2 linked regions of the Drosophila melanogaster genome follow. Changing the gene in region 1 together with any one later gene gives a genetic interaction. Each region holds a gene or a part of one and is shown on either strand. Other genes may lie near its edges.

Evidence for each region.
Region 2: of Mtpalpha (region 1) and Cln3, changing one enhances a phenotype caused by changing the other (phenotypic enhancement), as found in Drosophila melanogaster (one study listed by BioGRID).

What each region holds. Positions count from the first base shown.
Region 1 is NT_033779.5:9,572,086-9,578,749, forward strand, and holds Mtpalpha (mitochondrial trifunctional protein alpha subunit), read right to left. Parts: upstream 4,685-6,664; 5' UTR 4,509-4,684; coding exon 4,433-4,508; intron 4,296-4,432; exon of another isoform or gene 4,145-4,295; coding exon 3,417-4,144; intron 3,351-3,416; coding exon 3,210-3,350; intron 3,154-3,209; coding exon 2,384-3,153; intron 2,322-2,383; coding exon 1,685-2,321; 3' UTR 1,488-1,684; downstream 1-1,487. Other genes in the region: brwl (brickwall), read left to right, coding at 1-880.
Region 2 is NT_037436.4:17,807,954-17,816,193, forward strand, and holds Cln3 (Cln3), read right to left. Parts: upstream 6,167-8,240; 5' UTR 6,107-6,166; intron 4,939-6,106; exon of another isoform or gene 4,843-4,938; intron 3,047-4,842; 5' UTR 3,037-3,046; coding exon 2,833-3,036; intron 2,761-2,832; coding exon 2,630-2,760; intron 2,542-2,629; coding exon 2,383-2,541; intron 2,324-2,382; coding exon 1,984-2,323; intron 1,927-1,983; coding exon 1,492-1,926; 3' UTR 1,278-1,491; downstream 1-1,277. Other genes in the region: CG32191 (uncharacterized protein), read right to left, coding at 1-377, 467-626, 684-794; Ir75a (ionotropic receptor 75a), read right to left, coding at 7,709-7,934, 8,032-8,240.

The sequences.
Region 1 (6,664 bases):
CCTGAAGTCCAGCCGTAACTCTTTGGAGGGGAACAACAGTCTGGCCACTCTGTACCAGATGTCCCAGCAGCATTTGCAGCATCAACCATTTCTCCTGCATCCAGCACTCCATGCGACCGAGGAGCACAAGTACTGCGCCAACACTAGCATCAATAATAATAATAATAACAACGACGTCCATAATGGTGAGAGTATGGAGGTCTTGGAGATGAAGTACTCGATATCGGAGAAGGACGATGAGGAGACCATCGACGCCTTTGATCCCGCGGTTACCAACACCCTGGGTATGAATCGTACTTCGTCCACGCCCACTCGCAGTTCTGCCCTTCAAGGAGGCGGAGGCAATTCACCGGCCAGAAGCGATACCGCTAGTGCGGATAGCATGAAAAACTTCATTCCAGATGTGCAGCTGGCCGAGACGGGCTCGCAACTCATCTACAGCGATGGTGGACATGGCACACCACCGCCTCTGCACTACCATCCGCACTCGCATCCACATCCTTTGACATTGTCCATGGATCATCACCCAGCATCCTACGAACCGGGGAGCACGAAAAGAATCAAGACGGAATGCGAGGCCACCAGCACGATGACGAATGCAGGAAGTATTTACGGCGGACTGAGTTCGTCGGAAGTGGCGGACATGGAGTTCTTCCGCAGCATTCTCCCAGATCTGGCGACTCTCACTCCACAGCAACGTCGCAAGTTCAAGATTGGCATTCTGGAGCTAATTGACGACGTTGTAACCCGATATCCCGCCCAGGATCACAGCAACGGAGGAGGCGTATCTGGCGTAGTCAACGGAAGTGGCGGTAGCAGCAATGGGGGATCTGTTAAGCATCAAAGGCGCAGCTCTGGACGCGATTGGAGGAAACAATAAAGGAATAGAAAGTGTATCGGAAAGTCACTAATCCTTAACTAGGGATAGGATAAGTTTAGTTAGAAGCTTAAGGGGGATCTGAAGCTGGAATGGGTACTAATTCGAATCTGAGCTACTTCAGTCCGCTCACTGTTAATGTGTTGTGTCTACTCAATAAGATGGGTATGTTTTCAAAGGCCTTCAATTCTTTCAAGTCCGCGAATTGTTTCGATTTTGACCAACCATTATGAATGGTCCATTTACAAAGAGCTGCAAGAACTTGCATGACCAAATATATACATATATATATGAACAACTAATATATACATTTAAAGCTATTCCGAAATCGAACACATTCAACGAACAAGAAGTAATGAGGTCTCCTTATAAGCCATTTAGTTCTGACGTAGCAGTTAAGGAATTGTGAAAATAGATTTCAAGATTTTAGAAAATGGCTGCTTCGAAAATATGTTAGTTTAAGGACACTGTATATACGCTGCTATTGAAACCTAAACTATAGAATCTGTGTACAAATGAATTTCCGTTTGAGTAAACAAAGAGGGATAAAGAGATAGATCGATATCAAACTGCTGTGTGTAATAATAAACAAATGAAAGTATGGAAAATTACACGGTAAACTTTAATTTAATTGTCGACAACTTCAACAGAGGGCTTTTTATTGGGCCTTGCCCCATTTTTTAGGCAGCGATGGACCACAATAGGTTTCCTTTCTGAGAGAAATGCACAAGGACACGACTTATCTTCGCACTAAAAGCTAAATTTCGTTAGCGGCTCTACGGAGGCTGGGATCGGATTGGATCGGATCTACAACTTCGAGGAGCCAGTCTTGGGGTAGAACTTCTTCGACGGGTCCTTAGCCATGTCGAGCAGGGTCTGAGCGGGCTTGAAGGGAGCTCCGTACAGCTCAGCATAGGATTGCATCTTGCTGACCAGTTTGCCGGCTCCATACTGATCGACCCAGCGGAAGGGACCACCGGAGAATGGCGGGAAGCCCAGGCCGAACACGGCTCCGACATCGCCCTCCAGCGGACTGTCCAGAATCTTCTCCTCCAGACAGAGCACGGCTTCGTTGATGAAGCGGGATACCATACGCAGCGTCAGATCCTCGGGGGCATTGGCTCCCTTTGAGACTAAAGCGTACTTTTGTTTCACGATTTCGAGAGCATCGTTGTTCACTGGACGAGTGCCCCTCTTCTGGCCATCGTACAGGAAGATACCCTTGCCGGACTTGCGTCCGAGGAAACCAGCCAGGACCAGATCATTCATTACTTCCAAGTTTCCACCGCTGAAACGTTCGCCGAATGCCTTTGCCAAGTCGACGGCAATGTGGGAACCCACGTCAATGCCAACCTCATCCGCAAGGGTCGCAGCACCCACGGGGAAGCCAAACTTCTTCGTGTATTGGTCCAGATCCTTGGGGTCCACGCCTTCCTGCAGCAGTCTGACATAAAATATGGGAGTATAATAAACAATTTCACTAGTCATCTTAAAATGCAAACCTACCTGATGGCTTCCGACAGCATGGTGGAGAGGATGCGGGTGGTATAGAAGCCAGGTCCGTCACCAACAGTGATAACGACCTTGCCTTGCTTGAGACCGACGGCCACGGCCTGTGCGATGGTGTCCTTGGAGGTTCCTGGGTGAGTGATGATTTCCAGCAGCTGCATCTTGTCCACGGGCGAGAAGTAGTGCATGCCAACAACCTTCTCGGGACGCGAGCTTCCAGCAGCAATCTTGGTGATGGGAATGGCGCTGGTGTTGGTGGCAATGACGCAGTGCTCTGGAACCACTGCTTCCAGCTCCTTGATCACTCGATGCTTAACCTTGATGTCCTCGAAAACAGCTTCGATGATGATGTCTGCGTTCTTGAAGTCGCTGTAATCAAGAGTGGGCCGCAGACTGGCAAGAGTCTGATCGCGCTCCAGTGCAGAGATTCGCTTGCGCTTCACAGCCGTCTCCAAACCCTTCTGCACTTGTCCAATACCACGAGCCAGGCCGGCTTCGGTGGCATCCTTCATCACCACCTGATATCCCTTATCGACGGAGACCTGTACAATACCGGCGCCCATCAGACCAGCTCCCAGCACACCCACAGTCTTAACCGGACGCTCTGGCTTGCCAAATCGGTTCTTCTTGCACTCCGTTTGTCCACGGAACAGGGCAATCAAACCCTTCGACTCGGGCGTGGCCGATAGCTCGCCGAAGCCCTTGCGCTCCGCCTCGTAACCGGCATCGGTTCCCTTATCCACGCCAGCACGGATCACATCGAGAATCTGTTTGAAGTTATAGGTTACTTACAAATATGAGAATTGCTTGTTCAATATCGAACCTTCAGAGGAGCGGGATAGAGACCGTTCGAGGCCTTGAGCACCTGTTTCCTGGCAGTGTCGAAAATCTTGTTCTTCACAAAGTCGGTGTCCATGACGAAGGACTGGATCTTGCTGACGAGACCGCTTTTCTCGCGATTTACCTGTGTGGATACGGTGGAAAACAAATTAATGATGAAGACTTTAAGGGATTAACTAGTATTTCTTACGCGAAGTTTACCACTAGCCAGATCGTTGGCGACCTGCACGGCGGTCTTCTCCAGGTACTCGATAGTGTTTTGCTCAGCAGGCTGGAGTCCAGGACCTAGGGGATCCACCAACAGATCCACGATGCCCAGTCGTTTGGCGCGATCGGCGCGCACCTGTTTGCCTGTCAGCTCCATATCCAGAGCCGTGGGCACGGATGTAAGCTTGGGCAGGCGGACGGTGCCACCGCCGCCGGGCAGGAGACCCAGCATGACCTCGGGCAGACCCAGTTTGGTCTTGCTGTCCTTGGTGGCAATGCGGTAATGGCAGGCAAGGGCGAGTTCCAGACCACCACCCAGACAGACTCCGCTGATGGCGGCCACAATGGGCTTCTTGCTGCGCTCCATGCGATCGAACATCACCTGGGCGCCGTGGGAGATCAGCGTGGCCTCCTCCGCCGTCTGGCATGCTTCCAGCATCCCGATGTCGGCTCCGGCCACAAAGCAGCCCGGTTTGCCCGAGATCAGCACGGCGGAATTGACGGCAGGATTCGTCTCCAGGTCCTTAATCACTCGCTCGAACTCATCGCTCACTTCGGAGCCCAGGGAATTCACCTTGGCATTGGGTGAGTCGATCTTGATCACAAGCACTCCATTGACCACCTTGGTGTGGAGATGCTTGTTGGCAACCGGTGCGGGATTCGTGGACATTAGGCGGCGCCTCTGGAGAAGCTGGGCCGAAATGGGCAGGGCTGCGTGGGGTTAAGAGATTGTTGTTTGCGATTAGTGCACATTATCTCACGGCACTCGAAATCGGAAATCAGAAAGCGAGAGACAGAAGCTATACGTCAAGGGAGAGTACAAAGTTCAAAGTCCAGTTATGCGGCATCGGGGGAGATTCAGCTAACACGGGAACGGGAGAGAGACAGAGATACCGCTAGAGTACTGCCCATTTCCAAGGGGCCAAATTCCAATGTAGAAGAATTATGGCCTGCAATTTGCACTTTCCCTTTTCATAGCAGAACTTCTAATTAACCCACCTCTGGTGCACTTATTCTGCAGCAATTGCTGTCGCGAAATTTGGCCAACGGCACTCAAAAACCTCGTTGCCGACATTGCTCTCAGTTCGATCTTATAAGATAGTCACTTTTTGCTTACGATAACTATTTGTTTTAATTTTTAACGAACTTTGATCATGCACCGTTAGTTATGTGTTCGCGATTCGCTATAAAAAACTATGCGGCAATTTCTACTTGTTGCACATCCCCAGTGTGACCGCGTTCGTACCAATAAAATATACTACCATAAGTATTTTCTAAATTTTAGCACTAGCCTAAATACCGCACACAGTACAAACTCATCCACCAGGTGTCGCTAGTGTCGTTTTTTTTTTAACTAGGTGGCGCAGGAGATCATAACTAGTGTTACTATTGTAGCAACTTTTAATTTTAAAGTATAAAAGAAAAGTACAAAAAAGAAAAATGAAGAAATGTATATATATATGGGCATTCTATTATGTTTTACGCATAAAACATAATTTCGTACTTGTTTTAGACTGCAAGTAATTTTTAGTTTAAGCGATTTCTGTAGATCACCTTTTTATTGTTATCTTTCATTTTTTTAAGAGAACACAAAATTATAAATCGTATATAATACCAGAGTTTTACAATAACTCGACCCGGTTTACAATACAATATTTCAACGACATTGTTTTTGGGAATCTGTCACGCTGACCCACCCCACAACTCGAGGTCGAACCATTAACAGGCCGCACAATTTGCGGGACACGCATGTCACTCGCATTTTTCAGGTCGCTTCCTCGGATCTCCGAGTTCGAGTCCAGGACTCATTGAAGCCACATTAAGCGCGCCTCATTTGATGCGATGCCATTGTCCTTTCAAGTGGCCACTGCTAAATAGGTTCGGATGAGATTTCGCCAGGCGCTTTATTGTGGCAACACGCCTTTGTGGCCTTTGACGCAGGCGTTTCATGTGGCGTGTACTATAAAGTAAATAGTTAATCGTTTTTCCCCGAAGCTGCAGCTGCGGTCTTGATTTCTCCGCTGATCCGTCTATGATGTGTGAAGAGTCAAAAAAGTCACACTTGAGTTCGTCGGTTTATGTCAACTGCAAAAGTCCGTCAGTCAAATGCTGGTAGATGGCTGCATAAGTGACCTGACCTTTTCCAATCAGCGGGCTTATCAAATGGATAACAATTGGCAGAAGAACCATTATCCACAAAGCTACAATAATGTATTTTACAAATTTTGCAAATTTTAAACTGATTTTAAATAAATAAATGTAATACTACATAGGATAATTATATTTTGAATATAACCATATATGGCATCTAACCATAAATTGAGACCTCTATTTGAGTTTCATTAGTTTGCGAAAATCTGCATTAACAAATTGCCACCGTATAGCATTTGCATTCGAAATTAGTCTCTGGAATTGCAAATGTGAATTTGCGAAACCTCAGATTAGATATCCTATATTCGCGCACTTATTCACGCGAATATTGAATTACACCGGCAACAATGGGATCAGCATCAGTTAATTTGCATAATACCTTTGCGATCTCCGATTCCTCCCCTCGGCACCCAAGGATAACACCAAATGAGCAGCAAAGCCAGCGACTCCACAGAGTTCTCATTTGCATGCGAGTGAGGGTTCGGGCTAAGGGCTAATCAAACAGCAAGGACAAATATTGTTGCAGGATGCGACAGGAAGCACACGGTCGGTTGTGATTTATGGCTGGAAATTAACATAAATGAAATCAAAACATTTTAAATGTTTTCATTTGGGCAAGGGTTCGGCGCAGCCGCACTCGAATTATGTATGCAAATATCCTTTGAAACAAAGTCATTCCTCATTTCTCATTTCTCCTGCAGCTTGGCGAGTGTGCGAATATCCTTGAAGGTCGCACGCGTCAGCGGCACACTTTCCATCCAACATGACAACTAATGGGCGTTTTGTTTATGGTCGATATCAAACCCCCATTAGGGTCGAGTACTCTTTGCCCGTAGTGACTACTTGCAACCCCTTCCCTCGGGCGACCGTTTTTTTTTTTTTTTTATACTTTTAATTATTTATAATCGGCTTGAAAAAAGATCAGAAACAATAACCAAATTTTTGAGTGGCCTCTGACAGGGGGTAAACCGTTTAATCGACCCCGAATTTAATTGCCGTTGAAAATGGAATTTAAAATTTTGTTTACCTCTTTTGGTAATGAAAATATTGTATATATGTGTAGTAAGGAAAACTTTCCAA
Region 2 (8,240 bases), on another chromosome or scaffold:
CATCAGGAATAGGGGTTGCTCCTTATCAGCATGGTCTTTGATCAATCGTTCCGCCTCGGCGGTTAACAAATCAGTTACATAAACCCCACGATCCCGGCACTCCAACTCCATGTTCCGCCGGAAATCGTAGCCCAGACTATAGTTGGCCACCGGCATCTTGGATCGTCTCTGGAAGTAGTCTATATAAGCGCCCCAATAGCCGAAGTGGTAATCGAATCCCCGCCGAGTGGGCGTGTATTCCGGGCGCGAGAAGCCCAGATGCCATTTTCCCACCAGGTTGGTGGAGTAGCCTGCCTCCTTGAAGATCTCCGGCATCAATGTGGCATTGAGGGTCAGGGCCCAAGGCTCTTCGTTGCTGATTACAAAGTGCTGTGTGCCTGCGGTAATCAATATATGAATTGTGTGGGTTTGATTCAAATCATTGATAATAACAATCCCTGGTATACAAAAGGTAATCGATACTAACCCGTGTGTATTGGATACCGGCCGCTGAGCAATGCTCCCCGAGATGGAGTACACATTGCCGGAGCGTAGAGCCGATCCAGTAGACGACCGTGATAGGCCAGGGCGTCGATATTGGGAGTTAGAAACTCCCGTCCGCCTCGAAAGCTCACATCATCGAAGCCCTGAGAGAGTGTTTGCTTTAGAAATGGGTTGATTTATGACGGCGAAACTAGTCCCACCATGTCGTCGGCCATAATGATGATTATGTTGGGGCGCCGTGCTGCAGCAGATTCGTCCGACTTCACCCGTTGGAGGCAGAGCAAAAGCAGAAACGCTGATAAGCCCCGCATCTTGGTTACTCAACTTACGTATTAGACAATCGCGTAATATTCGACTGCCTTGCACGGCAGCTACCGATCAACTGAAACGGCGAGCGGTCCACGTAACATCTCGCCCCAAATCGGTTTGGGTCTCGATCTCCCAATCTGTCTCAGCCGGCATCTCACTGCCAAACCGATCGTTTGGCGTTCGATTTGAAACCGATCAAACCGAATTAGAAGCCACAAGCAACAAGTTTATTTAATAACCGAGCAGCTCCATCTAAGTAATTATAATGTGTAGGTAGTGTAAATACGTACAATTTAAGAGGCTTTTTGTTGGAGACAGTTGAATAAACTCAGAGCAAGTGGGGCGCATTCTGTCTGGGATCAGTGTGCTTATCAAAGTGGTTAGCCGTGAGCACTTTGTGCCGAAAAAGCCAAACTTTGCCAAGGAAAACATTTTCGGAAAAGTGCTTGCATCTGGGTACGTTGAAATTAAATGAAATCGAATGTACAGTGTAGTGTTTATTTTTTTTTTTTATTAAACTAAACTTATAGAGTAGTCTAACAGCAGCATACTAACTATACAACGATCTATCTGGTTACCGGATGTCCAGTGATCCAGTGATTAATACTATAGGGACATGCACAGACACACACGCTTATTTGGCTAAACACGCACACAGTAAAGGCATAATCTGATCCTGATTCTGATCCTCGATCCGTATCACCAAACAAGGCTTCTGGCCGCGGCCGGAAGACCACAGATGGCGTTGTGCACGGGAATGGCCAGAAATCCGGCCAGAGCAATGCCATAGGAGTCCGACTGTACCACCATGGCCATGGCGAACTGCTGGCGCTCCGGCGAAATCTCCTTGGACATCCGATAGAAGGTGTTCACGTAAGCACCGCCGCCCAGAAGTCCCTCCCACAGGACGATGGCGAACACGATCCAGATGCTAGGCGTGTACCACCAGATAACCTCGGTGAGGAAGTATACCACGTTGACGAACTGGAAGATGGACATCAGCCAGATCTTGTCCAGCTGGAAGAGATTGACAGAGGAGCGCGAGATAAAGACTCCGATCTGATAGTCCACATTTAGCCAGCGGTACTGCGAGTCCTTGTCCAGGAATATATCTTCAAAGTAAACCAGTTCGAACTGAAAAATGGATGACAATGAATGTTTTTTTGTATGAATTAAAGAAAGCTAAATTACCAATCCTTGATTGATGAAGTATTCGAAGAAGTAAACCAGGCAAAGGGGCAACATATATTTGAAGAGGTGCTTGATATAGAAGAGCTTTTCCTTGAACCCAACTAATGGCTTCTCATCGCTGATCAGGACTTCCGTGGACTCAACCGTGGTAACCGGCAATATATCAACTTGTGGACGACGAAGCAGCAACCAGAATGCAAAGGCCTCGATCGCAGGGAAGATCAGCATAATCAGCATAGTATCTCTGGGACTGAAGTCTAAGGATCTCAAGCTAGCATAGCTCAAGGATCCGATAACTCCAGCGCCACCAGTTCCGGACGACCAAGTGGAGATCACATTCCTAAGAAAAACATATGGAATTAATGATATTTTGTTTAGTACTTTTACCAGACAACTCACTTATTGTATCGCGAAGAATAGGCCAAGAAAGTGGTTTCTCCTATTCCGCTGCTAGCCGAAGTGATGATGACACCCAAAAGAGCCATCCATTCGGCATTGGCGAATCCAACCAGGAGGAAACCAGCTGCAGAAAAGGCCACGGCAAGAGCTATACGGAAACTAATAAATAAAATGCGATTTTGTGTTAGTATCATATCAAGTTTAATGCATCAAATCAAATTTATTTAATATTGTAGATAGTACTCACTTCACCCAAAATGGAAAGAATGGCATTAGAATCTTGACAAATAATGAGGGCAGCACGTCTGCCAGCAAGATGGCACCTGTTGAAACCAAGTGACAGTTTCTTCCCGACGAGCTTTCTTCCGATTCATCATTCTAAAAAGAAAAAATTATGCAGGCGAACAATTAATAAATGTATTAAAAGTGCTATAATCCTATTGTAATTACCGGATTAAACTGCTTGATAATATCGTGCGCAGCACTCAGCATCACCACGTATCCGTAGTTGTTGCACAGACCGAGGATCCAGTAGGAAGTAAGATCCCGCCATAGACCCCGATCTTGGCGAGAGCTGCGAGAGGCGTCTCCAGGGGTGACCACCACTTGGGGATCATGTTCGGCCTCAGCCTCTTGCTGCTTGGTTGCCGTCATATTGAGCCGGCTAAACAAAAATTAAAAAACCCTTTTGTTTAATATTTTTAGTGCAAATCCAACAAATTTATTTGATTCACTTCATAACTTTTTTTACCATTTACTATCTCTAATCTAAACTCATCTAGTTTCTCCTAAGAAATCAACAACTTATTTGTCTCTAAAAAAATTAATGTTGCTCTTTTTAAAAGCTTTAGCATTTACGCAAATTGTTTAATTGGTCAAGCGTGAACGAAGGTGGTTTTAAGACTTCAAAACGGCAACGAAATCAATATCACGTTTTTATAATAACAGTTTCTTTTAGTAGCTTTAGTTCAACATTTATTTGTTCCAAGAAACAAATCAGCGCCGTACCCTTAGTTCATGATCACCTTACTTAATTTACTTTGAATGGGCCAACTATTAATTGAATTCTCTTTCCCAGCTATGAGCTATTTATACTCTTAAAAGAAACTGCTATTCACTCTTCTAAGCTGAGCAAATACTACTGCTCGAGTCGAATTTAAATAAATTGTTTAATTTCCCAAGCCGAGCATGTGCGTAAGCAGTCTTGAACTTGACATAATATGGTCACTAGGGGAAGTCGCTAAAATATATGGAAAGTACGTGCAATAAATGCTTAAAAATATACAAATTGTGTTGAAGGTAGGAAAAGACAGCTGTTTAGTTCAGACTCAGGGTTTGACGGGTTAAAAGACTCATATTTATATAGCTAAGTGCCTTGCGGGATATTTTCACGGGAGGTGCACACGTATTTCCTATTTTACTATTTGAATTTGTAATAAAGTAGCCTATTACTATTACTTTACACATTTCTCAGGCATTTAACTATGCTATATAACTAGCTAATTTGCAATGTTTGGAGGTTTTAAATAAATAAGATTTTAGATAACATTCAGCTGTAGCGGGAAATAAACTACATATGTGCGATTTTACCGGATATATAGATGTACGTATATATATCACAGTTTTTTGGCAATGTTTTCGGTGGTGCAAAGTGCAGATGAATTGATTTGTTTACATCCGACAGAACTTGTGACTGATAATAGATCGAAGAGGAAATGGGGACAACAGATGGGATAATATAATCTAGACCGTTCAATGCATATATTCCCAATTCTCATTAGCGCCCTTGACTGGCAGCTTTTAATTATCCAGATCATTTAAGTTAACCTTGCAACAAGCCAAACCAATTCAAATAATGTAATCAACAGTTAGCACGAGCCCTGTTAGCCAACAAAGAAAAGGCACGCTAACTGTAAAATAATTATAACAAATTAACTAATTTAATTAATTCAGAGACCAGGCAAATGCTTTTTAGCCGTCCTGCACTTCGTTGGCCACTGACTCATTCAAGAGATTCACTTGATCCATTTGCGCAGTTATGAAGTTGTTGACCCAATTCGCAGTGCACTTTCCTATCCAGTTACTTTTGCTTGCTATCAAAAAATATGATACCCGATACTCAAAATTTATTTCGAAATATCACTGGTAAATTGAGAATGCTAGATCTTGCATATATCTTGAAAAAAAAATTCTGAAGCATAGAGTGCTTAAAGGGATTTTCGTTTTCAAATATAACTTTTTAATCAGTAAATTAATAGATAAAATAATTTTTTTTCCATAAGAAATTTTAAGCCTTTGATATTTAATTTCGCATTTTATGTAATATAATATGTAAAAGGTTGAATTTACAACAAATGTAAAAATGTTTACATAGAGTTAACTTTCTATTGCACTTTATAACTTTTCATAGCACTAATGGGTTCTTCAACTGCTCTTGTTCACTATAAAGTACAACCGTACATCTTGCCACTATTTTTCGGCTTGGTAGTTCTAAGGTTCCGAGAACTGTTGGATACGACGGCGACGACGATTCGCGCTTCGAGGCGATCGGTGAGTGACTGAACCTGTGCGAACCCTCCCAACGGAACGAGAACCAATAACAAGCGGCGACTACAATGGAGCCAAGCGGCTGGGAGCCCAAGTATGAGGTATCACGCGAGTTGCCAGCGGCAGCATAAAAACTAAAACAATTAAAAGATGCAGCAAGTGCCAAAGTGCCGATCAGCAGGTTGATCGTACGTAGATCGCTAGCAGGTAGCACACATTACAGATTACATATATAGTATCATTTAATTCAATTCAATTCGATTTGATTCGATTTGATTCGAGCGGCAAAAGCGGGGGAGTTGAGGTCGGTCAGCGAACGTCACGTTTTTCGAGTTGGCAAGTGCATTCGCATTGGGTTTAGAATACCCCTTCTTCTCAAGAGTGCGAAGATAGCGATAAGATGTTCGAATTTCTCGATGGGGGAAAATCTGCGAACCTTGTGATTCTTTATGGTGGGAAATGCTTATCGGCTAGCGGTCTTTGGCATTCAAAGATCCCAAGCAATCCGATAGTCGAACTGGTATAGATTAGATTATGAAGATATTGTGTCACTACGAAGGGTTCTTAAAGATTTTCCAATACTTTTGAACGCATGTGCTAGCTCTTGATTAATGTATTGAAAACGATCAAGTTAGCAACTGTATTTTGGAGGGTATTTCAAACTTCGTGTTTGTGTTAGCTTTCGTAATTAGCACCTGTTATTGAATAAGTCATAGCTATTTTAATTACGCTTAACTTTAAGTTAGGCAGTTTAATTGCGGATAGCGCTGTTAGCTTTAATTTGTGCTGCCCAATATCAAGTAAGCTCTAATGGTCGTTCCCTCTAAGTTTATTGTTTTTCAACGGGCGCACGTGGCGTATGCGTAATCCGAAAAGTGCTCCTAAGCTCAAAAACACCTGTTTTCTAGTAGAAAGATTTTAAAAAGTAGTATCGATAAATTCACTTGTTTTTTTTTTTTTAAAGTTACACAGTAAACCAAACGGAGGTCATTTAACTCGATGACAAACGGTTCGGCTATGCAAATCACATTTACCCGTTCAACTGGAAATGCTGGCTAATTTTATAACAATTTCATTTGAAACGGAACCCTGAGATACTTTCTACGGCCATAAATCCGGCGTAAAATGCAATAAACATTACTCCCCCGAGTGAATACCAAACACCAGCCGTACGTACACTTTCGAATTATTTCCGGCTGCCACTCAATCCGCTCGAGCAATGAAAATCTACTGAGGACTCGTCGAATACGGGCCTAGATTACAGCCGGACCAGTTGCAATCGACATTATCATTATCGTTAAGTGGCCAGCAGATTAAATTACAGATAAGACGTTCGCAGCATTGGGCCATATAAATCTTAAGATATCACTGGCAATGGCAATTCGTATATGACAGGCTCTGGGGAACAGAAAGGGTAATCAAACTGATGAGGTGATGGCCATAAGCCCGCTTCCCCCTTTTTATCTTTTCCCGTACACTTAAGTCTAATAATCGTACCGGCCAAGAGTTTGGTCATAATAAATTTCTCGGGTATCGTTTTCCCATCCACAATAGCTCCGTTTAAATTAAATCCGTTTCGCGCTCATTTAGCACGTACGGAAACCGCCAAAACCAATTTCACACCGCAGCCGCAAAGCATGGAACACTTTTTACTTGCCACAGGGCTATACATTGCATTTAAAAAAGAGAACATGTTGTTGACAAATTGCAAAATAAAGTGGTTAAGGCTGCTAGGGATAAAAAGGGACACCCGTGTTCGATGTTGTAAATAATAAATAATTCACAATTGCTTGTCAATTTCGAGTCACTCCAAAGTTGTCCTCCCTGCGAAGGGAAAGTAGTCCTTTCATGGCATAAACTATGGCCAAAGCGATGCCCTGTTGACAGCCAGATTGAGTTGACAAATTGTTAAGGCAATTTGTTATAGTAATACTTTGGGAATTCCGGAATGCCAGTGAGTGCTGTTTGGCAAGCAGTTGTGTCAGTTGCATTTTAATGGTCGACTGGGAGTCATTTAAGAACGAAGTTCTTAATACTATTTGCTTGACTTAGGCAAATGTAAAATCTTGAAAAAATATATAATTTACTGCGTATTTGATTAGCAGCCATATAATACCATTTATTTGCTCCTACACCCAATTTAATAATATTTGTGCGAACTCAACTCACTCTTATTTATTGTACAATCAATTTCGATAAAGCTTTGACACGTCCCTTCCCATATTTGTCGCCTCTGGCGATGCGCCATCATTAAAATACCATAAATCATCTCGGGGCAACATGCGATGTCTGCGGTAGGGAAACTACTGATTCCGGTGAAATTCGGGGAAATGCGAAAAACACAACTGTTAACTGTTTCTAATAGGCCGTATTAGGCTCACAATCAGTTATCTAACATTCGCACGTGGCATTGGGGAACAAAGTTTCAATTCGAATGTGGCCGTGCACGAAAATGCAAATAAAATGGCTCCAAGAGAATGAATAAAATCATTGCCAAAAGGGAAAATGGAGTATAAAAAGTAACCGCCAAACACGAAAAGTTTTTAATGCAAATACGAAAATCGCATGGAAACATGGCCACCACGTCCTTTGCAAACCCCTTTATCCATCCCTCCGTTTAACGAGCCGTGCTGCAATTTTCCGGCGCGAAAACAGGAAGTGAGGAAAGCGTCGCCCTGCATAATTTTGCGATGCGAAAAGTTAACGCAAAGTGTTTTTATTTTCTCCTGGGTGCAAATAGAATATAGTTGTTACAGCAGCTTAAAGCGATTTTAAAGCACTACGGGTGAAAGGTGAGATGACGCGTGAAAAAGCGCTTCCAGGCCAGTTCCACCAGCAGGATTACCACGACCAGGATGTCGGCGCAGATCAGCATGAGGAGCAGAGGAGCCACGTACTCCATTCCCACGGTGATGACGAAGTTCTGGGCCACGCAGTGCAGCTTCATGTGCACCCAGTAGCTGCGCTGCTTCCGGTAGACACCAGTTTCCAGGATCCTAAGGAATCTAAAATAATACATACGATTTTAATACATTTAAGATGTTTTTGAATAGCATAAAATTTAGTTATACTTGCTTTTGGAAGAGTAGCATAAGGGCTTACCGAAGTCTGAAGAGCTCCTTGTACGTGGAGTTGCGATGTAAGTGCGTGTAGAATAGCTGCTCGGGTCGAAATAGAACTTCGTTCAAATCGCAAATCTCTTGAGCCGTAAAGTACCGCTCCACATATGCATATCCGGAAGAGGTTTCGAACACGTAGACATAGCCAGGATTATCCCTGACCCTTAAAACACCCTGCTCAGCGGGCAACCA